Linked DNA regions of Pelodiscus sinensis. The protein of the gene in region 1 interacts with the protein of each later gene in a pairwise test. Links are inferred from orthologs where the notes say so. Each region holds a gene or a part of one and is shown on either strand. Other genes may lie near its edges. The genes, in order: PRR22 and NELFA.

Evidence for each region.
Region 2: the proteins of PRR22 (region 1) and NELFA interact in a two-hybrid assay, tested with the Homo sapiens proteins (2 studies listed by BioGRID). The two-hybrid records come from large-scale screens. The link is inferred for Pelodiscus sinensis from reciprocal best matches to the Homo sapiens genes PRR22 and NELFA.

Annotation. Positions count from the first base shown.
Region 1 is NC_134729.1:21,432,539-21,447,982, reverse strand, and holds the start of PRR22 (proline-rich protein 22), read left to right. Parts: upstream 1-8,994; 5' UTR 8,995-9,066; coding exon 9,067-9,193; intron 9,194-10,048; coding exon 10,049-10,111; intron 10,112-12,880; coding exon 12,881-12,934; intron 12,935-15,329; coding exon 15,330-15,444.
Region 2 is NC_134715.1:118,482,904-118,497,943, forward strand, and holds the start of NELFA (negative elongation factor A), read left to right. Parts: upstream 1-7,883; 5' UTR 7,884-8,027; coding exon 8,028-8,279; intron 8,280-15,040. UniProt on the Homo sapiens protein: Essential component of the NELF complex, a complex that negatively regulates the elongation of transcription by RNA polymerase II.

The DNA.
Region 1 (15,444 bases):
CACACCAGAAAGTTAGGACTTTGAGCTACAAGGCATCTGTGCCACCTGCAGCAAAGTCATCAACCGAACCGCAGTCCCTGCCAGCTGATTGCACCAAATTAGCTCCCCAGAGGCACCGGAGCGGTAAAACCCTGATCTTGTCACGTGAAGAAGGGAGCCAACCCAGCTGAATGTAATGCCAAGCAGCACTAAGGAACTGCTGTTTGCTGGACTCCCAACATGGGACTGCTTTAGAAAGCCAGTGCTAAGAGCATATGTCTGAATGCCTTGCACTCAGCCAGGTCAGATATGGCATTGCTGGGGACAGGCGAATTCCAAGCATTGCTATGGGCTGGGGACTGACAGGCTAAGAAAAGGACCAGGGGGTTACAGTGGATGAGAAGCTGGATATGAGTCAGTTACTTCGGGCTTGTAAATTTCAAAAAATGGCGCCCAGCTAGGAAGATGCAAATCAGGGGCGGGATATTTAAATCCCAGGCTTGATTTGCAATTCCGGATGCCTACATTTGCAGCCCTAGTTCGAATTAGGCTGCAAGTGTAGACATACCCTTAGTCATGTCCTTACCCTAAAAAGAACCAAGGATGAAATACGTCCAGGGGGACAGGGAGATACAGAAGAACAGCCACACTGGGTCAGACCAAAGGGCCATCTTGTCCGGTGTCCTGTCTGCCGACAGTGGCCAGTGCCAGATGCCCCAGAGGAAATGAGCAGAACAGGGCAATTTATCAAGTGATCCATCCTCTGTCAGCCAATCCCAGCTTCTGGCAAGCATAGAGTTAGGAACACTTACGGCAAAGGTTTGCACCCCTGACCGTCTTGGCTAATCACCATTGCTGGACCTGTCCTTCGGGAACTGGGCTAATTCCTTTTTGAACCCTGTTATGGTCTTGACTTTCACAACATCCTCTGGCGAGGAGTTCCACAGGCTGATTGTGGGTTGTGTGAAGAAACACTTCCTTTTGTTTGTTTTAAACCTGCCGCCTATTCATTCCATTTGGTGACACCGGTTCTTATGTTAAGAGGCGTAAACAACACTCAATTACTCGAGGAATAGTCATCTGGCAAAGCGGGCTCAGGCCCACGAAAGCTTATGCCCAAATAAATGTGTTAGTTTTCCAGGTGACACACGACTCCTTGTTGTTTTTACTGAACCAGACTAACACGGCTACCCTCTGAAATATCACTGTTCAGTATCTCCACACCAGTTGTAATTTTATAGACCTCTATCATATCCCTCCTCATAGCCCCTCCCTTCAAGTCTTTTTAATCTCTCGCCATATGGGCCTGTTCCAACTCTCTCGTCATTTCTGTTGCCCATCTCTGTACCTTTTCCAATTCTAACTGTAATCCCTGCGGCCAAGCCCACCCTCCCTCCTCCCCAAATTGGCCACGAGTCTCCCTTTTCAGAGCTTCCTTCCAAACCACCCATATGCCTTGGGATGCTTCTTGGCACAATGGGCTGATCCCCCATCGGAACATGTCTACCCAGACCTCCAGATGCAGGGAGTGAATCCTCTCTTTCGGGGGAGCTCAGAGCTTTCATGTCAGCAGGAAGAGGGGAAACTGCTCAGAAGACCCTGCCACGTCTGCAGGAGCCGCACAGAATACCTGGGCACGACCTGTCCCTCCTGGATGGGGTGGGGAGGAGATGAACAGTGGTGCTTTGCCCCAGCAGCTGCTTATGTCTTTACTGTAATGCATGCTGCCCACGGCCCTTTTGTTTGTAGCCTGCGGTGCAATTTGGGTTTGTAGCCTGCGGTGCAATTTGGGTTTGTAGCCTGCGGTGCAATTTGGGTTTGTAGCCTGCGGTGCAATTTGGGTTTACAATTGGCCTGCGGTGCTCAACACACATCCCACGGGTGGGAGCCAAAACCAAAACATAGTCAATACAATGGTCTTCTGGTGATATGCATTTTAGTAGTTAAATTCCTGGACTGTCATTGCTCATTAAAAGTGCTGTCATATGGGTGGAAATCAGGTTGATGTTGCATTTTATTAATATCAGCAGAACTGACTTAAATGGGGCCTGTGTGTTGTGTCGTCTTGCCTTAATCTTTGTATTCATGCCCGTCAGTGTGAAAGAAGCTATTTGCATATATATTTGCATATATATGCAACCACACTTAAGATGCAGCCCTCGGCATGTGCTATGAGTATCATTGTGGACCCCGGGGCTTCCAAAGTTGAGTAACCTCGTCTAATGTAATACTATGGTTCCCAAAAAGATGAGCTACTCTTGCAGGAAAGCCAAACCAATTCTACCGCCACCCTGCAGCATCAAAGGCCAACCCATGGCTTAGCTCCTCATAACTTGATCCTTTCTATGGGTTCGACAAGGCTTTGGTGAGTAATGACACAGAATTGTCACTTCAAGTCCAGGTCGAACCTCTCCCGTCCAACACCCCCGGGAGCAGACGGGTCCCAAACCAGAGAATTGGCCAGACCAGAGGATGCAAAGGCCAACTCCCCTGATGCTGATGGCTGTGGAGCCCTGCTCCAGCAGCTGCAGAGGGGCTGGCATTGATAGATCAAGGACCCGAGGAAAGGGACCAGGCACCTGTGGAGCCCCACGACTAGGGGCCAGGAGAAAAGCCCAGTCCTCCAACCTCCACTGTCCCTGAGGTTGAACGCCGCAAATCAGCCATTTGCAGCTCTCTGGAAGCCCTGGGAGGCTATTCATGAATGCCAGGCTGCAGATGTTGCCGGACAAGGGAGGTCTGGGTTATAGCCACGCCACCTGTATTATGATTGGCATCTAAGTTAGCATCTACTGAAATGAAGGGGGCAAGTCACCCGGGGAGACTCCGCGAGGTCAGGCAGATGTCACGCCCGCGGTGAGACTCAGGTCAGGTTGTAAAGGGGTTTCCTTTGCAGCCACAACAGCGCGACGCTCCCTTTTCACAAAGGAGAAAATGAAAGCTGACACTCGGAAGAACGACTGAGAGATCCACCTCCGGCAAGTCCGTGATGGTCCTGAAGGGGCCGCCCCTCACCCTTTGGGAAACATGTGAGTAAGAGGTGGCCTTGTAGGGCCGTATTCGCCTCACACCAACCCCCTGCTTGGGATGTTGATTGCGAGCGTTGCCCACACAAGAGTCCACTGGTAGGCCCCACCGCCTGCCTCACACCAGTCGGGGGTGCTCCCTCCTCTGATGCCCCACCTCGCCTCTGACGCTCTCCTTCAGGTGGGCTGGGGACCTTCCTCCTGCCCATCCTCACCCCTCTGGCGTCACAGGGGCAGTGGTGGTCTCAGCGCCCCACACGCCTGTATGGGTCCTTATAAGCCTGGGGAGGCTTCGGAGCCGAGTGAGAAAGCGGGAGGCCTGTGAACGAGTCAGACTGTGTGAAGAAAGAAAAGGGGGGGGTATGTGGCTCCCAACAGAGTAGTCAGGCTCTGGGGGCCTCTCCCCACATCCAAGCAACTCTCTGCTCCAGGAGGGCCTGGCTGTGCCGCCTCTCTTCCCACCTCAGGGGGGCAGGGGTGGCATCAGCGGAGACCCGGCAGCCCCTTCCTTCCCCCGGGCGGGCGGTGGAGGGCTGGAGAGGAGGAAGAGGAACCTCAGCAAGGCACGGAGGAAGGAGCCCCGGCCCAGCAATGGGCGCCCTTCCTCTCCAGCCTGTCTGGCCTTCGGAGAAGGAGCAGCAGGCCGGGGAGGAGGAGCAGCTGGGGAGGCCCTAGGGGCCTACTGGCCCACTCTGTCTATGGAGCCAGAGTCCTGGGGCTCCAGCAGCCGGGAACCATCCCCCACCGCCTGCAGCAATGGCCTGGGCCCTCCAAGCCCAGGTTCTTAACCCGAGCGAGCCGAACCACAAATGGGAGCCGGGCCCAGGTGCCAGGCCTGTCAGGGTCTCCTCCAGCGAGAGACCCAAAGGGGACTGGGGAAGAGCCCACGGCAGTCACTCGCGGGGGAAGGAGAAAGGAGGAGAAGCAGCCACTATCTCAGCAGGAGGCACGGCAGATGCTGAGCAGAGCCCAGCCCGTGTGGGAAATCTGTGGCAGAGACTGCGGGACACTGAGGGCACCTTCCCTGAGAGGTCTAGAGGGGAGTCTCTCCCCCTCCTAGGCAGCAGGAAGAACTGCCAAACGTGTGAGTGCCATGCGGGATGTGAGCCACTTCGCAGCTCTCTGTGGGTTACTCTGCACTGCAGTGGGACAGAACTCAGGCCTTCCTGCTCTACAACAGCCAAAGGAGAATCACGGTTAGCAGTACGGGGCTTATGACACACAGCCAAGCAGTTCCCATCCCATCCAACTGAGAGCAGGGCTATTCAAGGCCATCCGAGCACATGGCGGGCACTTAATGAAACCTCCCCACCACGCTTACGAGGAAGGTAAACAGAATTCCCCCATTTACAGAGGTACAAACTCATCCACCGTGTGGTCAATTTAACTCTTGACAACAGCGGGGGTTAGTGGCCATTTTGAAACAGGACCTTTTTTGTGGCGTTCTCCACAACGGCCCTTTTTCTTCAGTCTCTGTTGGAGGAGAAGCTTTCATCATGAAGAACAGTAACACATCACCGCTAATGCTAAACGTTACTTCCAAAATCTACTCGCTGCACTAGATTCACTTATCTGCCAATTTTTGAGCGAATAGACAATAACAGAGCTGAGGTCATGTGGGACAAAGGAAGCTACTAAATTCCCTAAAAGGGCCCATTTAAAAGTTATTTTAAACTCACACTAATTAAGTGGTTTATTTGTAAATGTGTTTGGTACTCAGAGTAAGTACTGCACCCTCCTTGAGGATATCGGGTGCTTTTCATACAAAGCAGATGAAGCTTGGCTTTAAATGCAAAATTCAACACAGCTGTAACCATAGCATCATGACTGGCCATGTCCCAAATAATCACATGCAAGAGGATCATCTTAATAGTCCAACGTATTGTAAATTTGGTGTTATTCGCAAAGTGGAGTGAAGTTGCAGGTATGATTTTAAGAAATTATTTTGCAAAATTGCCTGCTCTTATTTCACCTAACTCTACATACCCAATGTTTCATTTTCGCAGGAGGACATTTGCAGAAATAGTCAATTTGGAAACAAACAGACGAAATTGCAAATTTTGTGTTCCTTTCTTTTTTTTTTTTTTTGCAGGGCAATTGATATCACTCTGGGTATGTCTACACTACCCTCCTAGTTCGAACTAGGAGGGTAATGTAGGCATACCGCACTTGCAAATGAAGCCCGGGATTTGAATTTCCCGGGCTTCATTTGCATAAGCGGGGAGCCGCCATTTTTAAAACCCCGCTGGTTCGAACCCCATGCAGCGCGGCTACACGGGGCACGAACTAGGTAGTTCGAACTAGGCTTCCTAGTTCGAACTACCGTTACTCCTCGTGAAATGAAGGAGTTTTAAAAATGGCAGCTCCCTGCTTATGCAAATGAAGTCCGGGAAATTCAAATCCCAGGCTTCATTTGCAAGTGCGGTATGCCTACATTACCCCGCTAGTTCGAACTAGTGGGGTAGTGTAGACATACCCTCAAAGATTTCATTTTACTTTGGAAATTTCACATAAAATGAATAAAACCCACAAATTTAAAATTCATCATGACATGCAAAAAAAATCAATTTCCGCACTTCCCTATCTCTGGGCCTCAATTTCTCCATCTGTAAAATGGGGTGAAGACTTTAAACTCCTTTATGAAAGACTTTGCGATCTTGACAAATGAAGTACAAGAAAAGACATATATAATAACAATTAATACCAACTGCCTGAACTGTAAAACCTACATCCCAATGTGTATTTAAGGAATTATTTTAAATGTCTCTTATGTTTTTGAAAACATCCATAAAGGTGGCAAATAGAAGCTATAGATCTATCCTTAACATGGAAACATGCAAAAACCTTATGCAGTGTTTAAGTCGGTTAGCAAGACGAATTTGTGTGAGGACACAGTGCCACCCCCTGGCGCCAGTTGTGTGTTAAACTCTGCTGCTCAATTCAAGAGTAGGAGAACATCTGCGCTTTGGCTGACAATACTGAATCATCCCATTGGTATGACGGAGTTAAGTGGCTAAACTCCTAGTCTGGGTCCATTTGTGACCAGATGTAAATGTTGGATACTTTTACTTGTGAGAATTTTTTTTTTAATTTCCATCCCTTCAAGCTGTGAATCCCTGAATTTGCTAGCGACCATGCTTCTTGCTCGGGAGCGATGGGCAGATTTTATTCCCCCACTTCATGTCTTTTTTTTTAGCTAATGTCCAGATAAAGACTTTGATTTTCCAAACCTCTTCTCCCAATCGGAAATTTCCTTGGATTTGCCCACATTGGAGCAACCATTATTCTCTGAATATACAGGTTGAACCTCTCTGGTCCGGCACTCTCAGGACCTAACAGGTGCTGGACCAGAGAATTTTCCGAACCTCGGGACGTCAGTATTGTCTAGCAGCATGACCAACACTTCCACTGCTTGCTGCTCTCTTAGAACACATTGAGGGGTGCGACGTAGTGGGGGTACCTTGCTGGGGCTGTGGGCGACCTCTGCTGTCTGTAGCGCGACCCAGCAGGGCAGGGGGTGAGTCATTATGCAAAGGGGGCTCCAAACCTGTCTGACCAGCTACCCCCCAGGGAGAGAAACAAAGGAAGGTGGAATGCCGCCCTGGCTGGGGGACAGGGCTGGAAGAGAGTTAGTTAGTTTCTGTCTGGGGAGCAGGGGAGAAGGAGCAGGGGAGGGGGGCTGGGATTGTAGGGACCAGCCACCCCCCATCTCAAGGGGGGGCACTGAGGCCTCTTAGCCCCAGTTCCTGTAACCAGATGACATCTGTGCTGTATCCTGGAGAAGCAATAAACTCCCTCTATCCTACTGGCTGGTGGAGTCTGTTCGTGCCATTTCGGGGGTGCAGGAGACGGGAAAACCCCAAGGCGTCGTCACAAGGGGTAAATGAGCACTAAATCACAGCACAGAACACTAAGAGCTAGGGCTGGTGGCTATAAACAAACTTTATGGGACCACGGAAAACTTAGCCACACCCATAATAAGTGGTCATCTGGCTATCTAAAATTACGCCGGACCACGGATGTTGCCGGACCAGAGAGTGCTGGACTAGAGAGGTTCAACCTACAATTTCAAATTCTCCTTCTATGCCGAAGTCTCCTCTTACCTGGCCATGCAGGCCCCTATCTCCCAGCCTTGCAAGGACTAGGGTTGCCAGATGGTCTCCCAAAAAATACCGAACACGCGGGCTAAATATTTGTCGAGCAAATGTGTCCAGTATTTTCTGATTTTTTTTTACCGGACAGAGAGTGCAAATACCGAACTGTCCGGTACCGGACACCTGGCAACCCTAGCAAGGACCCTTCCCATCAGTCGCTGTTCAGTTCTGCCCACAGCATGAGCAGAGCCCTTGTGATGGCCTAGAAGATGCTGGCGTGAGCTGGGTCTCCTGGAGGGCCTGGGAGGCGGGGAAGCTCCTAGCCCAACACAGCAGAGCAACCAGTCAGCACTTGAGGGGTCTGATTATCTGGCCACTCGCACCAGTGCAACTCCATAGACCCCAGCGAGGGCACCGGAGTCAGCGAACGGAGAACCAGGCAGTAGCAGAGCCCAGAAGTTTGGTGTCCCCGCCCTGCCCTCTTCCCTCGGCTGATGCTCTGAGGGAAGAGCCAGGACAATTTTGCTCTCACTGCCCACTTCGCAGAGGGGCCTCCACCAGGAAGGACGTTCCTGCTTGATGCCTGGGGCAACACAAAGGAGCTGAGATGACATCTACGGAGCATCTGTTCAGAAGCGGCCTGGGAAGCCCCTTTTGGGCTCTGCTCCTTCCCTGAGCCCCAAATCTTTCAGCATGGCCCCCAGGGAGTGGGGCCAGCAGCAGCAGATTTCCACCTCTTAGGATCTGATAACAGAACCAAATTCAGATCCTGACTAATGCCAGAAGTAAAGACGGGATCACGTTAACCGCGTAAGTCAGCCCTCTTGATCTGACCATAGAACCCTAGAACTGGAAGAGACCTCAGAAGGTCATCGAGTCCAGCCCCCTGCTCTAGGCAGGACCAATCCCAACTAAATCAACCCGGCCAGGGCTTTGTCAAGCCGAGACTTAAACACCTCTAGGGATGGAGACTCCACTACTTCCCTAGGGAACCCATCCCGTGCTTCACCGCCCTCCTAGGGAAATAGTTTTTCCTAACATCCAACCTGGACCTCGCCCACCGCAACAGGCTCCTATGGATGTGAACACACACAAAAAAACCCTTAAAAACTGTACCCCAGGGGCTTCCTTCTTACAGCCTTTTGGGAGTTCCTGGCATGGTTCAGTCTTATGGTTCATTTAGGCTTAGGGGGGTTAGGTGCCTATTTTAGGAGTAAAAAAATCAATTTTGCTAAGTGTTTAAAAATGTTCCCCCTTGAAGTCCTGTGCCCCCACAATTGCACCCCCAATGTGTGGTGGGGCAGAAACAGATCTACAAGGGTTACTCTCCCACCCCTAGAGATGAACTCTCGGAGCACCTGAGGGATCATTAGTACCCATCAGCCTCTTTGGTGCCCTGCATCCCCCCACCCCCGGGAACGTTCCATGGGGAAATGCAGGCTTGTACCGGAGCTTGTGCCGGAGCCAGCTGAGCGAGAGCTAGAGAGAAGGCGTGTGGGAGTCGCACGTGCCATTCGCTGAGCCTGCAAGAGGACCTGGAGCAGATCCGTGCCTGACAAACTAGCTAAACGATTCAATGAAGAAGCAATTGTTGTTTATTGTACGCTGAGCTGCAAGGGAGAGCGCTTTGCACCCACCCCATTAAAGATAAGGCACCATCGCATTGCAACACCACTCAACTCCCCTACAACACCCCTCTCCCCAGACAAGGCCACCCCAGGATCAAACTTTTACGGTCTGTTTTGTTTTTTAAACGTCCTGCCCTAAAACTCAGACAGCCCTTACCTTTGGCGTCACCTATCCCAGCACTTTTAGGGGACTTAGAACCTCATTTGTTACCTGGAATTCTTTGCTGAGTAACCATCAAAACAGAACTTCTCAGCCTTGGCAACACTGGAGCTAATTCTCCTAGATACATGTCACGAGCAGTCCCGTACCTGACTGTCCTTTAAACTGACACAGCAACTATGCAGCAACCAAAACTGTTCTACCAGCAACATGATGCCTATGGGCCCAGACCCTTAGATCAAGCCGAGAGCCAGCCAGCCAGGCCACTTCAAACATTTGTCCTTCCAGATAACCCTGCATCAGTCGGTAAGATAAATAGTTCTCTGTTCTGCTGTCTATTCCTCTTTTAAACTCTCCCTCCCATCCCCTGATTTATCAGTTCTGGGTATTCACCTCAAAAAAGATATTTTGGCCTTGGAAAGGGTTCAGAAAAAGGCAACTAAAATGATGAGGGGTTTGGAACGGGTCCCATATGAAAAGAGGCTAAAGCGACTTGGACTTTTCAGTTTAGAAAAAAGGATACTTAGGGGGGATAGGATAGAGTATATAAAATCGTGAGTGGTGTGGAGAGGGTGAATAAAGAAAAGTTATACATTAGTTCCCATAATATAAGGACTAGAGGACACCAAATGAAATGAATGGGTAGCAGGTTTAAAACTAACAAGAGAAAGTTCTTCTTCACACAGCGCATAGTCAACCTGTGGAACTCCTTGCCAGAGGAGGCTGTGAAGGTTAGAACTATAACAGAGTCTAAAGAGAAGCTAGATAAATTCATGGAGGTTAGGTCCATAAAAGGCTATTAGCCAGGGGGTAGGAATGGTGTCCTTGGCCTCTGTTAGTCAGAGGCTGGAGATAGAAGGCACGAGACAAATTGCTTGATCATTGTTGTCGGTCCACCCCCTCCGGGGCACCTGTGCTGGCCACTGTCAGACAGGCTACTGGGCTAGATGGACCTTTGGTCTGACCCAGTACTGCTGTTCTTATGTTCTTATGTATTTTCTTCAGGAAATATACCGCTGGGTTCTCTCCTACTCCTTTCCATTTTCTCCCAGGTTTCCTTCATCCTCTGAAGTTAATAATTCAGACCCTTTCAAAATGTCCATCAAATTAAGCATCATTTCATACTGGAGACGCTGAGACTTTTCTGTGTTCGTATTTCAGGACCGTCCAACCTGTACCATCCCCCAAGTCAAGAGAAAGATGTTTTCACAGTACCCCCTGCAGGTATGCTTAGGACACAAGATGTAGAGACCAATAAGAATTAAGGGCAGGTCTACACAACAGATGAACGTTGGCTTAAAAGACGCAATTCCAGCCACGTAAATAACACCACCAGAATCCTTAAGCCGAGTTTCGGCGCCGTCCCCACAGCAGGAGGTCAACAGGAGAAATGCTCCCTCCCGTCGACTTCCTTTATTCCTCATGACTGCAAGGAGGATCGCGATCAACAGGGGTGCCCTGTCTTTACTAGACCCGCTAAATCAAATGCCAGAAGATCAACCACTGCAGCACAGATCTCTGCAGCAGTGAAGATAAGCCCTCAGGCAGTGGTTCCCAACCTGGGGTCAGTGGACCCCTGGGGGTCTGTGATGGTACTAGGGATGTTATGTATCGATTAATTTACTAGTCGAATAGTCGATGGAATTTCCATCAACTATTCGACTAGTCGATAAGAAGGGCGCTTAGAGCACCCCCTTTCAGCTCAGGGCACAACTCCCGGCTGCTGCTCTGCATTCTTAAAGGGACAGAGAGGAGTCGTCGTGCAAAGACGAGTTTGTCCCTTTACAATGCAGAGTGGCAGCAGTGGAGGGGGTAGGAGGGCTCTTGTACTGAAGCAGAGAAGCAGGACCAGCGGCTGCCGCTTAAAAATGCAGAGTGGCAGCGTGAGGGTTGTCTGAGAGCCAGCGGGGGACCAGAGAATGAGCCGGTGTCTCTGCACGCCAGCTCCTCTCCGTCCCTTTAAGAGTGGGGAGGATGACTGAATAGTCGATAGTGCTACTCCTTCACATCCCTAGATGGTACTGTAGCGGGTCCACAGAAAGTTGAGGAAAGGAAAGGAAAGGAAAAGTAAGGATCAGGCCTACTATGGGACTAGGACTTTTTAGAGCGACAAGAATGATTAAAGGTTTAGAGAACATGACCTATGAAGCCAGGCTTCATGAACTGGGCTTGTTTAGTTTGGAAAAAAGAAGATTAAGGGGGGACATGATAGCGGTTTTCAAATATCTAAAAGGGTGTCACAAGGAGGAAGGCGAAAATTTGTTCCTCTTGGTTTCTGAGGACAGGACAAGGAGTAATGGGCTTAAAGTGCAGCAGGGGAGGTTTAGATTGGACATTAGGAAAAAATTCCTAACTGTCAGGGTGGTCAAATATTGGAATAAATTGCCAAGGGAGGTGGTGGAATCTCCCTCTCTGGAGATATTTAAGAACAGGTTAGATAGACATCTGTCAGGGATGGTGTAGACGGAGCTTGATCCTGCCTTGAGGGCGGGGGGCTGGACTCGATGACCTCTCGAGGTCCCTTCCAGTCCTATTATTCTATGATTCTATGATTATTCTATGATTCTATCAGGTGACTCTCACCCGGGGCTCACTGTTTGTGACCAACCGCACGCCGATGCCTCCCGCCCTTGGGATGGGATCTTGATACCCCAGGAGGCACCATCTATGCTCCCGCCGCCAGCTATGCCGCAATTTACGCTCCAGCCCTCTCGCTCCTTGCTTTTCTCTTTTCATAGAAACAGAGCTGGAAGAGACCTCAGAAGGCCATCAAGTCCAGCCCCCTGCTCTAGGCAGGACCAGTCCCAACTAAATCAACCCAGCCAGGGCTTTGTCAAGCCGAGACTTAAACACCTCTAGGGATGGAGACTCCACTACTTCCCTAGGGAACCCATCCCAGCGCTTCACCACCCTCCTAGGGAAATAGTTTTTCCTAATATCCAACCTGGACCTCTCCCACCACAACTTGAGCCCATTGCTCCTCGTTCTGCCATCCCTCACCACTGTGAGCAGCCTCTCTCCATCCTCTTGGGAACCTCCCTTCAGGAAGTTGAAGGCTGCTCTCAAATCCCCCCTCACTCTTCTGTTCTGCAGACTAAACAGACCCAACTCCCTCAGCCTCTCCTCATAAGTCATATGCTCCAGCCCCCTAATCATTTTGGTTGCCCTCCGCTGGACCCTCTCCAATGCATCCACATCCTTTCTGTAGTGGGGGGCCCAGAACTGGACACAATGCTCCAGATGTGGCCTCACCAGAGCCGAATAAAGGGGAAGAATGACATCTCTGGGTCTGCTGGCAATGCTCCTCTTAATGCAACCTAGTATGCCATTAGCAATCTTGGCTACAAGGGCATCCTGTTGACTCATATCCAGCTTCTCATCCACTGTAAATCCCAGGTCCTTTTCTGCAGAACTGCTACTTAGCTGGCTGGTCCCCAGCATGTAACAATGCTTGGGATTCTTCCGTCCCAAGTGCAGGACTCTGTACTTGTCCTTGTTGAACCTCATCAGATTCCTTGTGGCCCAATCCTGCAATTTGTCTAAGTCACTCTGGACCCTACCTCTGCCCTCAAGCATATCTACCTCTCCCCCAGCTTAGTGTCATCCGCAAACTTGCTGGGGGTGCAATCCATCCCCTCATCCAGGTCATTAATAAAGATATTGAACAAAACCGGTCCTAGAACCGAACCTTGGGGCACTCCGCTAGAAACCGACCGCCATCCTGACATTGAGCTGATGATCACTACCCGCTGGGCCCGGCCTTCTAGCCATCTTACTGTCCATTTATCCAATCCACATTCCCTTAACTTGCTGGCAAGAATATTGTGGGAGACCGTATCAAAAGCCTTGCTAAAATCAAGGTATATCACATCCACTGACTTTCCCACGTCCACGGAGCCATCCTCATCATAGAAGCTAATCAGATGGGTCAGGCACGACTTGCCCTTTGTGAATCCATGCTGACTATTCCTAATCACTTTCCTCTCTTCCAAGTGCCTCAAAATGGATGCCTTAAGGATCCCTTCCATGATTTTTCCAGAAACCGAGGTAAGACTGACCGGCCTATAGTTTCTTGGATTGTCCTTCTTCCCTTTTTAGAAGATGGGCACTACATTTGCCTTTTTCCAGTCATCCGGGATTTCTCCAGACCTCCACGACTTTTCAAAGATAATGGCCAAAGGCTCCTCAATGACATTTGCCAAATCCCTCAGTACCCTCAGATGCATTAAGTCCAGACCCATGGATTTGTGTACGTTTAGCTTTTCTAAATAGTTCCTAACCTGTTCTGTACCCACCACGGGCTGTCCATCTTCATCCCATCTTGCGTCACTGTGAGCATTAGTCCGGGAGCCAACCTTATCCGTGAATACAGAGGCAAAGAAAGCATTGAGTACTTCAGCTTTCCCCACATCATCTGTCACTACGTTACCTCCTTCATCTTTTCTTTTCTTTCCCCTCCCCCACGGCTCTGTGCCCAGCCAAGCGCAGTGCTGGGTCAGGAGCCACCTTTGGCCACGAGAGCCCCCTTGGCGTGTCCTCCGTGGATGGGCAGGGGATGGAGGGGGTGGGAGCTGAGGAAGCAGCACAGGCCAAGGGACGTGCTGGCCCCCGCTTCCCACCGTTCCCCTTGCCGGGGGGTTCGTAAAATTGTACCAGACAGAAAAGGGGGCCATATGCTCGAAAAGGTTGGGAACCCTAAGGGCACGTCTGCACTTACTGGGAAGTTTGAATTAAGACACGCCACTCCAGTGACGTTAATGGCGAAGCCGGAGTGGACAGACCTTAATTCCATTGTGTGCAACGAGCGGGCCTTGCCAATCGAGGCTTATCTGGGCCGACGGGGGCACCCACCGCGTTCAGTTTAGCGGGTATTTACTAGGCCCACTGAATCGAATGCCGCAGCATTGATCTTCATGCTCGTATGGACGTGGCCTAAGGGTGGAATTTTCCTAAGAGCTGGGCACCGTCCGGGTACTCTACTCACAGCGGGGCGCCTCCTTGTGGCCACCGAGGATGAGCTCTGCCAGTCTGATGCCTCTTCCTGCAGATGCTCACTCCAGCGTTCCCCCCCAGCCTGCCCCCTCCTCTCTGGGCTGCAGCCCGGGGACCGTACCCCCCCAGCTCAGGGCTGCACAGCCTCACACCTTGCTGCTGTTTCCCTGGGCAGCTTCCTAGAGTGTTTCTATAAGACTCTGTCTCCCCCATCCTCCGGACTCGTCCTTCCCTCCAGGCCTAGCTCCCGTCTCTCCCTCACCTCAGGGAGAATGACTGCAACTCTCCTCCCTGCGGCCCCATTCTGCCTTCAGCCGTGCACACACCCCAGCCTCATTGCTCCCTGGCTCCTGCCGCAGGTGCAGCCTAGGCACTTAACTGGCCCCTCTAGCCACCTCATCCCCTTCAGGGGCTGGTGGTGCGCAGCCTGTCGCAGGCACCTAACTCCCTTGCAAATCTCATCTGTTACAGACAACAAAGGGTGCAAAGCATCCTGTGAGAAGGTCTGCTTTCCCTTACGCTCTCCTGTTGGCCTCATTTTGCATGCACACATACACTCATGCACACACATATGCACATACTCATGCATGCACACGTGCACACTTATTCACGCATACACACGTGCACACATGCACACTCATGCACAAATGCACACACTTGTACATATGCACGTGCATGCACGCACACTCTTGCATGCACACATGCTTACACATACACATTCATGCATACACGCACATGCACACACTCATGCATACACTCACAGGCACACAAGTGCTCACTCATCTATGCACACACTCATGCATGCACACATACACAGCCATGCTGACACTCACCATGTGAATGGTAAATCATTGCAAGTTACACTGTGGATTGGTTAACACTTGTAAGTTAGGTTGTGTGTCAGGGTGGCAGTGTTCCTTCATCTATGAAAATACCCCTTCCACCACTGTAGGTTGTGTCTACACAGATAGAGATACAGATATGACAATCTAGCTATGCCCATGTCATCTTCCTAGCACAGACACACCCCGTGCTGGCCAGCCATGTCTGCACTGTGCTCCGCCCACAGCGAACATGTAACTTACACCACAGTAGGCTCCCTGCTGACCTTGGCCCAGCGATTCCATGAGAATTGCGCCTGGACTCCAGACTTGTGTTTGCCCCAAGCCCCAGATCAGTGCAAGTTTTTCCACATGCACCAGTTCCTGACCAGACGTGTACTCCACGTGCAACTCGCACGCCTAGAACCAGCTCCTTCATGCCAGACCCTCAGTGCTGACACTGACACAGCCCACACGAAGTCATCAGAGCTACGCACCGATTTACACCCGCTGAGGATCTGGCCCTGTAGTGGCTCTTGGCTGGGGGTGAGTCACACGCTCCCAGAGGACGTCTTTGCTTGTGGGCTCTGGGGTCCCCACTCACGACCATTTTCCTCTCTGTTGCCCAGGTTTCCAGATGGCGCCCTGTGGGTGCTTCTTTGATCCCCGGATTTACCGCATAGAATGGGCAACCACCAGTTTTGTGCAGCCGTCGGTTTATAAACTCACCGGTGGATCAACGTC
Region 2 (15,040 bases), on another chromosome or scaffold:
TAGCAGGAGCAGCAGCCAGCAACCTGCTCCACTCTGTCACCATCTCCCAGCCTGCTGCATTCCGCTTTACCATGACAGTAGGAAGCAGAGTGCTCTGGGACTGGGGTCAAGGTGCTGCGCTTCCTATTGCCACAATGAAGTGGAGTGCAACAGGCTGGGAGATGACGGTGGAGTGGAACAGTTTGCTGGGTGGTCTGGCTCCTGCTGATGTGGTAGAAAGGGCTGATCCCTGCTGCTGCCCCACACCAGGCTCCCTGTGTGATCGACCGGGCCAGGTCTGTGCACTGCTGAGGGTGTCAGCTCAGGACGAATTGCTCAAAACCAGGGCTGCTTAAAGCCCTCGACTGGAGACCTTTCCCAAAATAGGCCACAATCCAGTCACACAAAGCATTTCAGCTGCCAATCCGGCCAGCAGGAAGCCACACAAGCAAAACCCCTCAGACACCCCAGCTCTCCCTGTGCTACAATCAGCCCCGGGCCTTACGCACAGGTGAGAGGTTATAAAACCCGATCTCACCAACTCCAAACAGATCCTCCCTGTCCTAAAGAACCAGCCACAGTTCCCAGTCAATTTACACTTTAGATCCGTGGTCACCAACAGGTCGATCGTGAGCTACTGGCTGATCTCGAGGCCTCGACCAGTCGCTCGCAAGGCATCCTGTCCGCCCCGCCCCCATTTCCCTCCCACCCCCCAGAAGCCCTACTTACCTCAAGAAAAAACGGAGGTAGTGTCAGCTTCAGAAGTCCCGCAGCTTAGCGCCACTTCTGGCAATTCCAGAAGTGTGCTAGCTGCTCTGCCGGGTGTACTGCGGGAGGAAGCATCAGCTCCCTGCACCGCACAGGAGGGGGAGTCAGCCACGCGGGAGGCGCGCAGGGGGTTTTCTGGCACGTGCGCAGTTGGGGGGGTTGGCCCCGGGGCAGACGTTTGCGCGGGGCTTCCCTGCGCGGGATCGGCCCCGGGGCAGGCACACGCTGGTTTCCCGGGGGGGGGGGAGGGAGAGAATGCTGGGAGGAGGGAGATGCAGGGGACTCTCTGCCTCCACTGGCACCACACTCCCCAGCCCCCACTTCCCAGCCACAGAACGCTGTCCCAACTCCCCTGTCCCCAGCTATAGAATGCTGTCCCCAGCTATAGAATGCTGTCCTCACTCCCATCCCCACTCCCCTGTCCCCAGCTACAGAATGCTGTCCTCACTCCCCTGGCCTTAGCCACAGAACTCAGTCCCCATTTCTGTCCCCACTCCCCGAACTCTGTCCCCACTCCCCTGTCTCCAGCTACAGAACTTTGTCCCTATTCCCGTCCCACTTCCCAAACTCTGTCTCCACTGGCACCCTGTCCCCAGCTGCAGAAACCTGTCTCCACTGGCACACTGTCCCCTGCTGCAGAACCCTGTCCTCTGCCCTCCCAGCACTCTCTTCCCTCTCCCCTGCCCCCAGCCGCAGTACTGTCCCCACAAAATGTATAATTATAAATGCTTCATTTTAGATTTAAATAGCATGAATAAAAAACAGACAATTTATTTCATAACTATAAACACGTGATTTTAATTGTATGTATCGTATAATTTAAAAATAAACTGTTTATCAGAGTGTGTAAGTAAGGGCTGGGGATAGCAAGTGATGGACAGGAGGAGAATAGAGGGCGGGGCTTAAAGGAAGGGGCGAGGTTTCAAGGAAGGGGCGGGGCAGTAGATCTTCGCCTGTTCTGAGATTTAAAAAGTGATCTTGGGTGTAAAAAAGGTTGGAGACCACTGCTTTAGATCTTACCCACAAGAGCATGCTGAGCCAGTCCTTTAGAATCTAAAATCTAAAGGTTTATTAAAAAAAGAAATAAAAGGTTGAGAGCAAGATTGTTAAGGAGAATACATTACATACATCAATTACCAAGTTCTTGATGCAGGTTCTGAGCAGAGATGTTACAAACTGCTAGCTTAGAAGTCTCTGGTGTACATCCTGTATTAGGATGGGTCAGCAATCCTTCCCAGCTCTCTGTCCCTAGCAAGGCTGCATCTGGAAGCAGAAGCAAGATTGAAGACAAAATGGAGATAGATTCATGGCACTTTTATATCCCTGATGTCTCCCAAATGGGAGCTGGTCACATGATCCAGTGACCTGTCTGTGTTTCACATGCCAGCAGCCATGAGGTACTGGCCGGTCTGCATGTTTCCAGACGCATTCCTCAGGTGTATATTGGCCACTCAGAGCCATTGTCCATGCAGCAGTGCTAGTTAGAATAGGCATTCATTGAACAATGCTTCCTCACAATAGGCAGTCCAGGCCCATTGCTCTCTCCCAGATGGAGAACATTTACAGCTACACGCGGCACAGACTAGCTAGTTCGGATTAGGCTTCCTAATCCGAACTAGCTGTACACCTCGTTCCTCGTTTGTAGGAAGCCTAATCCGAACTAGCTAGTCCGTGCCGCGTGTAGCCGCACGGCACGGGGTTCGACCTAGCCGGCATTTAAAAATGGCGCCAGCCGGCTTTATGCAAATGAAGCCCGGGAAATTCAAATCCCGGGCTTCATTTGCAACTCCGTATGACTATATTACCCCCCCCTAGTTCGAACTGGGGGGGGGAGTGTAGACATACCCTTACATCCTTACTGAGGCCCAGCACCTGTAGTACTGGGTATGTTGCCCTGTGTCCCCCTAAGGATGGCCCTGTCAAGGATGGTCTCATGAGAAACTCTGGTTTCTAAGGCTTATAGCTTGGCCAATCTCATCTAACACATTATCAGCAGACTTGTTAAAATGTTGGCAGCTAAATTCTCTGAAGAATCTGTCAGTACTGGACCTGCTCCATCTCTTCACAGCTTCTGTATGCCAAAATAACTTTGCATATACTATCCCCACAAAGCAACTAAGCATACACCATCTTGAGTACAGGGGCTGAGAAAGACTTCCTTTGCAACTGATGCTCCCAGTTTCTTCAAGTCACTATAGTGCTGAAAGCAGGGAGACTCTCCTGTACCTTCTAATACATTAGTTCCTCCTACTCTGGGTAACTGTAATCCAGAAAGGAAAATAACCACATGAGAGGGTAGATTGGAACACAGATCCCAGGACCAGACTAGAACTGGGAGTTAAGGGAGGAGAAAGGGACAGAAGAGACAGGCTTTCAGCAGGGTTTTGAAGACAGAATAAGGGCAGAAGAGTTTATGACCACTTGAGAATACACCCTTCCAGAACCTTAAATAGAACCAAAGATGAATCACAAACTAAATGAGTTAACAATGTAATAGTGTTGCAAAAAAGTAAACAATCTTGGATGTATAAGCAGGAGTACTGAATACAAAGCATGTTAATTAATTATACCGTATTACTCAGCGCTAATGAGGCCTCAGCTGGAATACTGTGCCCTACACTTCAGGAAAGATGTGGACAAATAGGAGAAAGTCCAGAGGAGAGCAACGAAAATGATTAGGTCATAATTTTTAGGTCTTTATCTGGAAAGATTGAAAAAATTGGGTTTGTTTAGTCTGCGGAAGAGACAACTAGAGAGGTACATAATAATGTGATAAACTGTTCTCCTTAACCATTGCATAAAGGATAAGTAGTAATGGTCTTACACTTCAGAGATTTAAATTAAACAAACAAACAAAAAAAAACCAACCCTTACTATGTGGATAGTTAAGCATTAGAACAAATTACCTGGAGACATTGTGGAATCTCTGTCATTTAAGGTTTTTAGAACATGTCACAAAAACATCTGTCAGGGATGGTCTAGATAATACTTACTTCTAATTTAGTGCAAAGGACTGAACTAGTTGATCTATTGTGGCCCCTTCCAAACCAATATTTCTCATACCTGAAGCCTGCTATTCCTCTGCTATAAGCAAACATCTGTAAAACCCACTGGCAAATTGTGTGTCTCAGACTCATCCAGTGGCCAGTCAGCCTACAGAATGATAACTTACAACCACTACTAGTTAGCGGAAATGTCAGAGGTCTTGTGCTATAGAGGTAAAGGTTCCAACTTTGCTGATGACTCATACTAGTGTCTAAAAGTTTCCACATAATGGATTTTTTTCCACTTTGTTGTTTTACAAACTTAAGAAATTTCAAAACATGTTGTGTGCAGTGTTGTTATAACTGTGTTTGTCCCAGGATATGAGCATTCTCTGGATGAGGGGATAGATTGCACCCTCAGTAAGTTCGCAGATGACACTAAGCTAGGGGGAGAGGTAGATATGCTGGAGGGCAGGAGTAGGGTCCAGAATGACCTGGACAGATTAGAGGATTGAGCCAAAAGAAATCTAATGAGGTTCATCAAGGACAAGTGTAGAGTCCTGCACTTGGGACAGAAGAATCCCAAGCATTGTTACAAGCTGGGGACCAAATGGCTAAGTAGCAGTTCTGCAGAAAAGGACTTGGGGATTACAGTGGATGAGAAGCTGGATATGAGTCAATGGTGTGCCCTTGTAGCCAAGAGGGCTAATAGCATATTAGGGTGCATTAGGAGGAGCATTACCAGCAGATCCAGAGAAGTGATTATTCCCCTTTATTCAGCTCTGGTGAGGCCACATCTGGAGTAGTGTGTCCAGTTCTGGGTCCCCCACTATAGAAAGGATGTGGATGCATTGGAGAGGGTCCAGCAGAGGGCAATCAAAATGATTAGGGGGCTGAAGCACATGACCTATGAGGAGAAACTGAGGGATTTGGGTTTGTTTAGTCTGCAGGAGAGAAGAGTGAGGGGGGATTTGATAACAGCCTTCAACTTATAAATAAAATAAATTTTTAAATTAATGGAGATTGCCTATCTCCTAGAACTGGAAGGGACCTTGAAGGTCATTGAGTCCAGCCCCTTGCCTTCACAGCAGGACCAAGTACCATCCCTGACAAACTTTTGCCCCAAATCCCTAAAATGGCCTCCACAAGGATTGAACTCACAACCCTGGGTTTAGCAGACCAATGCTCAAACCACTGAGCTATCCCTCCCCCCCTTTGGAATTTCCTGAAGGGAGGTTCCAAAGAGGATGGAGAAAGGCTGTTCTCAGCAGAGACAGGTGGCAGAACAAGGAGCAATGGTCTCAAGTTACAGTGGGAAGGGTCTAGGTTGGATATTAGGAAAAACTATTTCACTCGGAGGGTGGTGAAGCACTGTAATGGGTTACCTAGGGAGGTGGTGGAATCTCCACCCTGAGAGGATTTTAAGTCTCGGCTTGATAAAACCCTGGCTGGGTTGATTTAGTTGGGATTGGTCCCGCCTTGAGCAGGGGGCTTGACTTGATGACCTCCTGAGGTCTCTTCCAGCTCTATGATTCTATGAGCAACAGAAGGTAGGTAATCTCTTTTATTGAACCAACTTCTGTTGGTGAGAGAGACAAGTTTTTGACCTGTACAATGATCAGAAGAATTCTGTGAATGGCCATCAGAACTTTCTTGCGCAAGAGCGTCCATGCAGTGTCGACACTCTTCTGTGCAAAAGCACATTGCTTTTGCGATGAGCTTTTGGGGTGTGGACGTGCTTTTGCATAAGAAGTTTTTATGGAAGATCTCTTCTGCAAAAAGCTTTTTGCACAAAAACCCTGCAGTGTAGACTAAGTCTTAGAGAAAAAGTTAGAAGTGACATCTCCTGCCACCAAATAACCTCTTTGTGTTTGGCTCTGTTCTCAGGCAAAAGGTGATGATTTCCTGATTTCTTCCTGATTTCCATAGCTGAGTTTCAGGACAGGTCTTGTAATCTCCCTTCTTAAATGCCTGATCCTTCACTGTAAAAAATAAACAAGAAAGGGGATGAGGGTTAATTTTACTTGAATGAAAGGAGAAACTCTTATGCTGCCTTCTTGATAGCTAAAAACACTACCGTACTCTTAATTAGGAAGCTCTGCCAAAGGATAACCCACAGCAGCCATAAGATATGTGATTGGGTTTGTAGAAGTTCAGATCCTGGAGGGAGGTGGTATAATCTTGCTTTCTCTCTCCCTCTCCAGCCAAAACAGATCAACCATTTCCAAAAAAATGAGTTGTTTTGCCCATGTTAAATTCTGGGTACCTTTTCTCTGAAAGACTCTGGCACCTTCATGCTCTGTTGACATGAGTTTTAGTAGTTACATTCCTGGACAGTCATTGCTCATTAAAAGTACTGTCATATGGGTGGAAATCAGGTAAATATTGCATTTTACTAATATCAACAATGTAGATAAATCTATGTATTATTTCATATGACTTGGCATTGTGCCTCTCCATATAACCTTGTAATTTTGTATTAGAACCTGAATCCATATAACCTTTTAACTTTGTATTAGAACCCTATATAGAAAACTTGTAGAAAACTGAGTATATAGTTAAAGTGGTAAAAATGTCTTTTGCTAGGAGTAGAATAAGATCTTCCCCCCACTCTGTAATCAATTGCCCTGTTGAATGAATGAGGTGAGAATGAGTAAGACTTGAGAGCCAAGCACCTCCAGACAGCTACAGCAGTTGAAGAGGGGGTGGAAGCCCGGCTTCACCCCTCCCCCATCTAACTCACCTGGCCAGTGAAGTTAAGGGGAGCAACTACTTGGTAACAACAGCAAGACGGAGTGTGCTTGTGTGTGTGTGTGCATGAGTGATAGATAGATAGATATGTCATATGCATATGATAAGTATTGATTATTCTATGGCTGCGTCTAGACTGGAAAAACTTGCCAGCTGTCTACACTGGCCGCTTGAATTTCCACAAGAGCACTGACTTCCTACTGTTTGAAATCAGTGCTTCCTGTGGAAATACTATGCTGCTCCTGTTCGGGCAAAAGTCCTTTTGCGCAAAAGGGCCAGTGTAGACAGCTCAGATTTGTTTTGCGCAAAAGGCCCCGATCGCAAAAATGGTGATTGGGGCTTTTTTTTGCACAAAAGCGCGTCTAGATTGGCACGAACGCTTTTCCGCAAAAAGTGCTATCAGCTCAGTTCCCACAGCAAAGCCAGACTGTGAACTCTGCAACTATCTGGTAGTAAAGAATGAGCATGTTTAAAACAAAAACAAAAACAAAAAAAGCCTTAAGCATGCCAAGTTTACCAAGTTCATTCTGTCTCTATGCATCCCCAGAAAGGTTCCCCCATTTTGTTTATTGATATACTAAAATATGCATTTGAAGCTGTATTTATAAAGGTCCTTAATCTAAGCATGTGCTTATCATTACACAGGTGCAAGAAGCTGAGACCCCTTTGTTGCACAGGAAGTTAGGCTTGTGTGTGTACACTTGTATGAAAAGGGCCTGTTTCCCAGTTTCTCCTGTTTATGCACGGAGATTACTTCCTCCTCTTACCAGACACCCCCTACTAAAATCTTTGGGGAGATGATGAAAAAGGGCTTCAACTTCGCTTATGTCAAAGCAGAGCATTGCAAGTAGATTTCATCACCTGTCAATTGGGTAGCAGGCTGGGTGTGTTGTTTGGAAAGGAAGATGAGAGGGGGGGAAACAGAGGACCAAAGGAGAAGAGAGTTGCCCAGCTGCCAGCGGTGGGTACAGATAAGAGTCCCGTGCTGGAGTCGGATCAGTTGTTTTGAATACAAATTTCTATTTTTTCCGGCCAGCTCTACCAAGCCGCCACCGAGTCAGAAAGGGTCGGAGCCGTCCAGCGGGCACAGCCTAGCCAGGCTGCGGAGCAGGGGCGCGCGCAGACCAGCTGTGCAGCGGGGAGGCAGGTGTGGGGCTGGAAGCGGGAGGACGGAGCAGAGGGGCGGGGGCGAGGTGACAGTGTGGGGAGGGAGAAGGGCTGAGGGAACGGGCGCAGGCTGCAGCCCCGTCCCTTGGAGAAGCGCTGGGGGACGCCAGCAGAGGGCGGGGAAGCCAACCTGCGAGGCTTCCCGCGACATGGGGAACGCCATGTTGCAGTACGGAAGGGAGGCTCCATTTCGCACTACGGAAGGCGTTGCTCCCGAGCTCGCTGTTCCTCTCCCACAGGGCGCCGCCATTTTAGATTACGGAACTCCCTGCGCCCCATGGCGAAGCCTCTCCGCGAGGGAGCCGCCATTTTGGGTTACGAGCGAAACGGCGGCCCACAGGGGTCCTCGCCCTCCCTTCGTATAGGTGTCTTCATAAAATGCCTGCTAAAAATCCCCCCTTTTTTCGCCCCGCTCCCAAGATGGCGTCGATGCGGGAGAGCGACACTGGCCTGTGGCTGCACAACAAGCTGGGCTCCACGGACGAGCTGTGGGCGCCGCCGAGCATCGCCTCGCTGCTCACGGCCTCGGTGATCGACAACATCCGCCTCTGCTTCCACGGCCTCTCCTCGGCCGTCAAGCTCAAACTGCTGCTGGGGATGCTGCACCTGCCCCGCCGGGCGGTGGATGAGGTGAGAGCCGGGCAGGGGCTGCGCGGGCACCGGGCGAGGCGGGAGCGGCTCCAGCGCGCGAGTCCTGCCGCGGGCTGGGGGGGGGGGGGGGGCAGGGTAGGGCTGCGAGAGCGAGTGAGGTGCCCGGGGCCAGTTGCCCCAGCAAGCGGCGGCTGGGTGAGGGCGGCAAACGCCCCCGTGTGGTGGCGGCGGCGGTACCCGCCCCCTCCCCGTTAAATGGCGTCGGAGGAGCCGCCCGCCGGACACACCCCCGGGTGGGGGAGGGTATCGGTAACGGCCCGCCGGACACACCCCCGGTGGGGGAAGGTATCGGTAACGGCCCGCCGGACACACCCCCCCGGGTGGGGGAGGGTATCGGTAACGGCCCGCCGGACACACCCCCGGTGGGGGAAGGTATCGGTAACGGCCCGCCGGACACACCCCCCGGCTGGGGGAGGGTATCGGTAACGGCCCGCCGGACACACCCCCCGGCTGGGGGAGGGTATCGGTAACGGCCCGCCGGACACACCCCCGGGTGGGGGAGGGTATCGGTAACGGCCCGCCGGACACACCCCCGGGTGGGGGAGGGTATCGGTAACGGCCCGCCGGACACACCCCCCGGTGGGGGAGGGTATCGGTAACGGCCCGCCGGACACACACCCCCCCCCCCCGGTGGGGGAGGGTATCGGTAACGGCCCGCCGGACACCCCCCCCCCGGTGGGGGAGGGTATCGGTAACGGCCCGCCGGACACCCCCCCCCCCCGGTGGGGGAGGGTATCGGTAACGGCCCGCCGGACACCCCCCCCCCCGGTGGGGGAGGGTATCGGTAACGGCCCGCCGGACACCCCCCCCCCCCCGGTGGGGGAGGGTATCGGTAACGGCCCGCCGGACACCCCCCCCCCCCCGGTGGGGGAGGGTATCGGTAACGGCCCGCCGGACACCCCCCCCCCCCGGGTGGGGGAGGGTATCGGTAACGGCCCGCCGGACACCCCCCCCGGGTGGGGGAGGGTATCGGTAACGGCCCGCCGGACACACCCCCCGGGTGGGGGAGGGTATCGGTAACGGCCCGCCGGACACACCCCCGGGTGGGGGAGGGTATCGGTAACGGCCCGCCGGACACACCCCCGGGTGGGGGAGGGTATCGGTAACGGCCCGCCGGACACACCCCCCGGGTGGGGGAGGGTATCGGTAACGGCCCGCCGGACACACCCCCCGGGTGGGGGAGGGTATCGGTAACGGCCCGCCGGACACCCCCCCCCCCCCGGTGGGGGAGGGTATCGGTAACGGCCCGCCGGACACCCCCCCCCCGGTGGGGGAGGGTATCGGTAACGGCCCGCCGGACACCCCCCCCCCGGTGGGGGAAGGTATCGGTAACGGCCCGCCGGACACCCCCCCCCCGGTGGGGGAGGGTATCGGTAACGGCCCGCCGGACACCCCCCCCCGGGTGGGGGAGGGTATCGGTAACGGCCCGCCGGACACCCCCCCCCCCGGGTGGGGGAGGGTATCGGTAACGGCCCGCCGGACACCCCCCCCCCGGTGGGGGAGGGTATCGGTAACGGCCCGCCGGACACCCCCCCCCCGGTGGGGGAGGGTATCGGTAACGGCCCGCCGGACACCCCCCCCGGTGGGGGAGGGTATCGGTAACGGCCTGCCGGACACACCCCCGGGTGGGGGAGGGTATCGGTAACGGCCCGCCGGACACACCCTCCGGGTGGGGGAGGGTATCGGTAACGGCCCGCCGGACACACCCGCGCGGAGCGGGGGGGGGGGCGTGTCAGTATTGCCCCCCCCCCCGGGTGCTCCTTGGGGGCGCTGCACTCAGTCCTGCCCGCCTGGTGGCAGAGGGGTGCTCAGCACTGCACCCGCAGCCGCTTTTGCCCCCTGGGGGTTACGTTCGGTACCTACTCGCCCCCCAGCCAGTTACCTATACTGTGCCTGGTGCCCCTTCTCCACCTCCCCTGGCAGGGGGCCCTCAGGCACCCTGGCGCGCAGCTGGGGCAAAAGCCAACAGGGCACTATTGAAAGAGCTGGCAGGGTCCCGGGCTGTGGTAAGACAGTACCTGTAAGAAACGTTGTTACTTTTACCGCTGCCCGTAGGATACATAGCTGCCGACCCCTGAGCGGCCAGCCCATGGTGGGATAGCCTGCCCCCCATGTGTCTTAGAGGAGAGAGTGCTAGCTGTGCGTTCATAGGGCCTGGGCACTTCTGGCCTGATGGGTGACCTTGGCGGAGTGTGCCTCTCACCTCGCTTTGCCCATCTGTAAAATGAGTATATTGGTACTGTCCTCCTTTGTATAGTGTTTTGATTAAAGTGTTACCTAAGGACTAGGCATTGTTATTCCTGTGACTCAAGTGTGGCGCTCCTGTGAGTGCTGTGCTCTTTTTCAAAAGGTTCCACCGTTGCCTTCTTGTCTGAAACAGAGAGGGGAGAGAGGAACAGGACAGATTATTTTTCGTATTTAGGCTGATGAGTTTCACCATGTACAACAGCTAGTGCTTTTGACTGCCTTTTTGGGGATTATGTCTCTGGGCCAGCAGTACTTGTGCTTGGAACTAGGCCAGAGAAACAAATTATAGAGGGCAGTGGTTTTCAATCTGTAGTCCGCAGATTGTCTGAATTTTCCAAAGGTGTCTGCGCCTCCATTTGAATTTTTGTAGGAGTCTGCAAATGGGGGAAAAACCACTGATATAGATGTTAGGCCATGCCAAATTTCCTTCACCTCTCTTCCCTCAAGCTGCCATCAGTACAGGAACTGAGTCTAAGGCAAGAGTGGGCAAGATACATTCTGCCCACTCTCCCTGCCACTCTACAGGCCAGTCAAGATCAGAGTTGGGGAATACACAAAGTCATTTGCTGTTCAAAGCGGCTGGCTGCTCCCTTCCCTCACCAAGGGCACACAATGCCTAAAGGGAGCCACCAGCTGTTTTGAACAGTGAATGACTTCATGCATTCTCTTGCCCCGGGTCGGAATTGGCCTGGGGGTGGTGAGTGCGCAAAGTCTCCTTCCCCCTCCAGGGGCGTGCGGGCCTAGAGGAAGCTGACGGCTGTTTAAAATAGCTGGTGGTTCCCTGGGTGTTGCGTGCCCCTGGCAAGGCAGGGGGACAAGAGACTTCATGCGGGAAGCGGGAAGTGCACGAATTTTCCTCCCCCCACTAGGAATGCACGACACCTCTAGGGAACCGCCTCTTTCAGCAGAGGCCTTGCCCTTTCCGGGGGACCTGGAGCCAGTCTGCAGCCACTACCACATTTTTTTAATTGTCCCCTTTGCAAAAATTATTGCCCAACTGCTGATCTAAGGCCTAGTTTACACCTAAAATTTAGGTCACCTATCAACATTGTTCAGGGCTGTGAAAAATTCACACCTTTCAGAGGCATAGTTAAGATGATCTAAGCCCCTTATAGACACCAGCTGGGCTGTGTCTACACTGCATCCTTTTTCCGGAAAAGGGATGCAGATGAGACAAGTCGGAATTGCAAATGCAGCGGGGATTTAAATTTTCCCCGCTGCATTTGCATGAACATGGCTGCCGCTTTTTTCCGGCTCAGGGCTTTGCCGGAAAAAAGCGCAAGTCTAGACAGGGATCTTTCGGAAAATAAAGCCTTTTCCGAAAGGTCCCGTATTCCTGATTTTAAGAGGAATAAGGGACCTTTCGGAAAAGGCTTTATTTTCCGAAAGATCCCGTCTAGACTGGCGCTTTGTTCCAGCAAAGCCCCGAGCCGGAAAAAAGCGGCAGCCATGTTCATGCAAATGCAGCGGGGAAAATTTAAATCCCCGCTGCATTTGCAATTCCGACTTGTCTCATCTGCATCCCTTTTCCGGAAAAGGGGTGCAGTGTAGACACAGCCTAAGAGTCTTAGCCTAGGGAGGACAGCAGCAAGTGCTCACACTTGAGAGGGGAAGAGCAGGGATCTCTCTGGCTATGTCTAGACAGCAGGTCTATTTCAGGATACTGGAAGTATCCTGAAATAGCATTTCTTCATCTTTAAACACACCCATTATTTCGAGATATATTTCAAAATAACAGGCACACTATTCCGGAATCTCTGTAACTCTCATTCCACAAGGATTAAGGGATTTGTTGGAATAGCACTTTATTTTGAAATTTAATTTCAAAATGAGCTGTTTTGAAATCTCAAAATAAGCTACACAATTTGCATAGTGCAAATTGCGTAGCTTAGTTTGAGGTAAGGGTGCTGTGTTGACGCACCCTATGGAGGGGTAGGAGAACGATGTTGAAGCTCAAATGGCTAAGGGCTAGGAAATCAGAGTTGGCATGGCTAACTGGTGTAGGAGGATGTTAACTAAGTAGGCTGTTTTGAAGTGGTGTTGAGTTGGAAATCAGGAAGCGGCTGATATATGGGGGAATAGTTTAACAATGGAAGGTCATTCTGGAGCATACATTTCCACAACTTAAGTCTTGAGGAATCTCTACTCTATTTCATTCCCCACATTGTTCTGTTTCCTGACAATACCAATTCAGATAATGTGCTGGTTCATCTTGATTCTCCTTTTCGTTCAATAGATATGTGTGCTCTTTGCAAGAGACTCATGTTTATGGGTACCACTGTCAGTATATGTTTGTTGCTGAGTTGTGACAGTAGAATTCTAAACAGGGTGTGGGGAAACTGTAAATACAGCAAAAGCCCCTTTTTTCTGGCACTTAACCAACCAGCATGCTTAATTAACCGTCATTTCTGATCTGTACACAGTCTGGTTTATAGTAGGGATGTCAATGAGGAGTCAACTATATGATTACCTGATAAGCCTAGGCTTATTGATTAATCTTGTCAAGTATACACATTTCCCCCCCCCCACCTTGCTGCCTCTGTATCAGAGGCAGCAAGTGGGATGGGGAGCAGGAGCCAGCTTAAAAGCCTGTTCCCCCAGCACTGGCTCCGCAGTGCCTCCCACCCCCTCTCCTCGATACAGAGGCAGCAGCACAGGGTAGCAGGGACCTCCCCAGGAGTGGGGCTACAGTGCAATCTGCCAATCGACAAACTGTCGAATTGTCGTGTAACTGATAAGAATTAATGTATTTACACAACTATTCAGTTATCCAATATCTAACATCCCTGGTTTATAGTGCAGTCGATTTGGGGCCTGGCAGCCGGCTGGGATGTGGGAGGGGCTTAAGATGTCAGACGGGGGCGGGGCAGGGTGCTCACCTACAGCAGCCTCCACAAGTGGCTCCCTGTTCTTACTTTGCTGGCAGAGTCATGGCCAGGTGGCTGTTCAGGTACACTGCCTCCATCCCCCCTTGTAGGGAGCTGACTCTGTGCCTTCTGGCCCATGAGCCGGGAACCACGGCCAATGGAATCTCCAGGGGGCACCGCCTCTGCAGATGGTGGCAGCGTACCTGTTTGCAGCAGAGCAATCTGGCTGCGCCGTCAGGAGGAGCATGGATGGGGAGCTCCTTGCGGAAGCCACTAGAGGGGAGCACTCACTCCCCCATCTGGCACCCTGAGCCCCTCCCAGCCCCCAGCTGAACCCAAGCCCACTCGCAGAGCCTGTGTCCCATACCTTCCGTACACTAACCCCCCCCTTAGTTAACCGATATTGTTAATTTACTGGTACCTTTCCTCCCACATGCTGGATAAAAGGGCTTTTATTGTAACATGCATTAGTGCACGCTGCAACCTTGAGTATTGACAACCAAATGTCCTAGAAGAAGTGTATGCACAAGCATTGTGTTTTGACCAATCCGTTTCAGGGTACTGTGACTCAGCATGACTCCTGTAGGTTTTTCTGTGTAGTCATTCATTCTATTATGTGGTGTTGCAGTCTGTGTTAAAAAGATACTTACTTAGTATATCTGCTTCCTGTGTAACTTTGAGACATAGTCTAACTCCTTGCTAAGTGTCTGTCCCAGCTCTAGGGTCTTTCTTTTAGTATAATTGAATTTGTAATGTAATACAAACACAATAAAATAGCCTTCCCAAAACCAGAAAATAGGAATAGCTCACTCCAGCCATATATGATCCCTCCATATCAAGACCCCAGCCCTCATTGCATGAGAGTTGGCATAAAAGCACCAGTAAGCTTAAGTTTAAAAAAGGGGGGGGGAGGCGGTTGGGAGGTAGGATTTCTTATGTGACCTGAAAGTTACCAGATAGAGGCATTTGGGAGCAAGAGAAGTGAATTGAAAAGTTTAGGGCTCTTTGTGGGGTATACTTGACTGACTCTTGTCTCAGACTGATGGAACTGCAGCTCAGGTGACACTATAAAATAATCTTTTGAAATGCTGCAAAGCCGTCCATATTTGAGATACTCTTTATTAAAATACTGCCTCAAAATTAATCCAAATGTAATAGGCTTGGCAGGTAACTTCATTCAGTTTTGACTTGTTAGTCTTGCAAACTCATTAAAACAATTGAAGAGTGGGCTAGTTTCTATTCCTTGTGTATCGTCAAAAAAGCCAACTAAGTTTTGAATATAGAAAGTTGTACTAGTGTTATTAATGGAGGCAGAAGACAGCTGGTGCTTTCAGATCCTAGATGAAGTTTGTGGAGATAGCAGCTACAAGTAGTATTGTTCGACTTGTAAACTTGAAGGAGACTTGCCAGCTGTCATTTTTAATCCCTTTATAGAGTATTTGTGATTAGAGATATAAGCAACTAGTCAAGGAGTCAAGTGACTACTTTACTACTCCCTTCCCTCCCTTCCCCTCTGCTGCCTCCGTATCCGAGACAGTGGAGGGGGAAGAGATCAGGAGCCAGTTCCCCTCAGCACCATCTCCACGGTGCAGGGGGGAGGCAGAAACGCAGCAGTCCCGAAGCCAA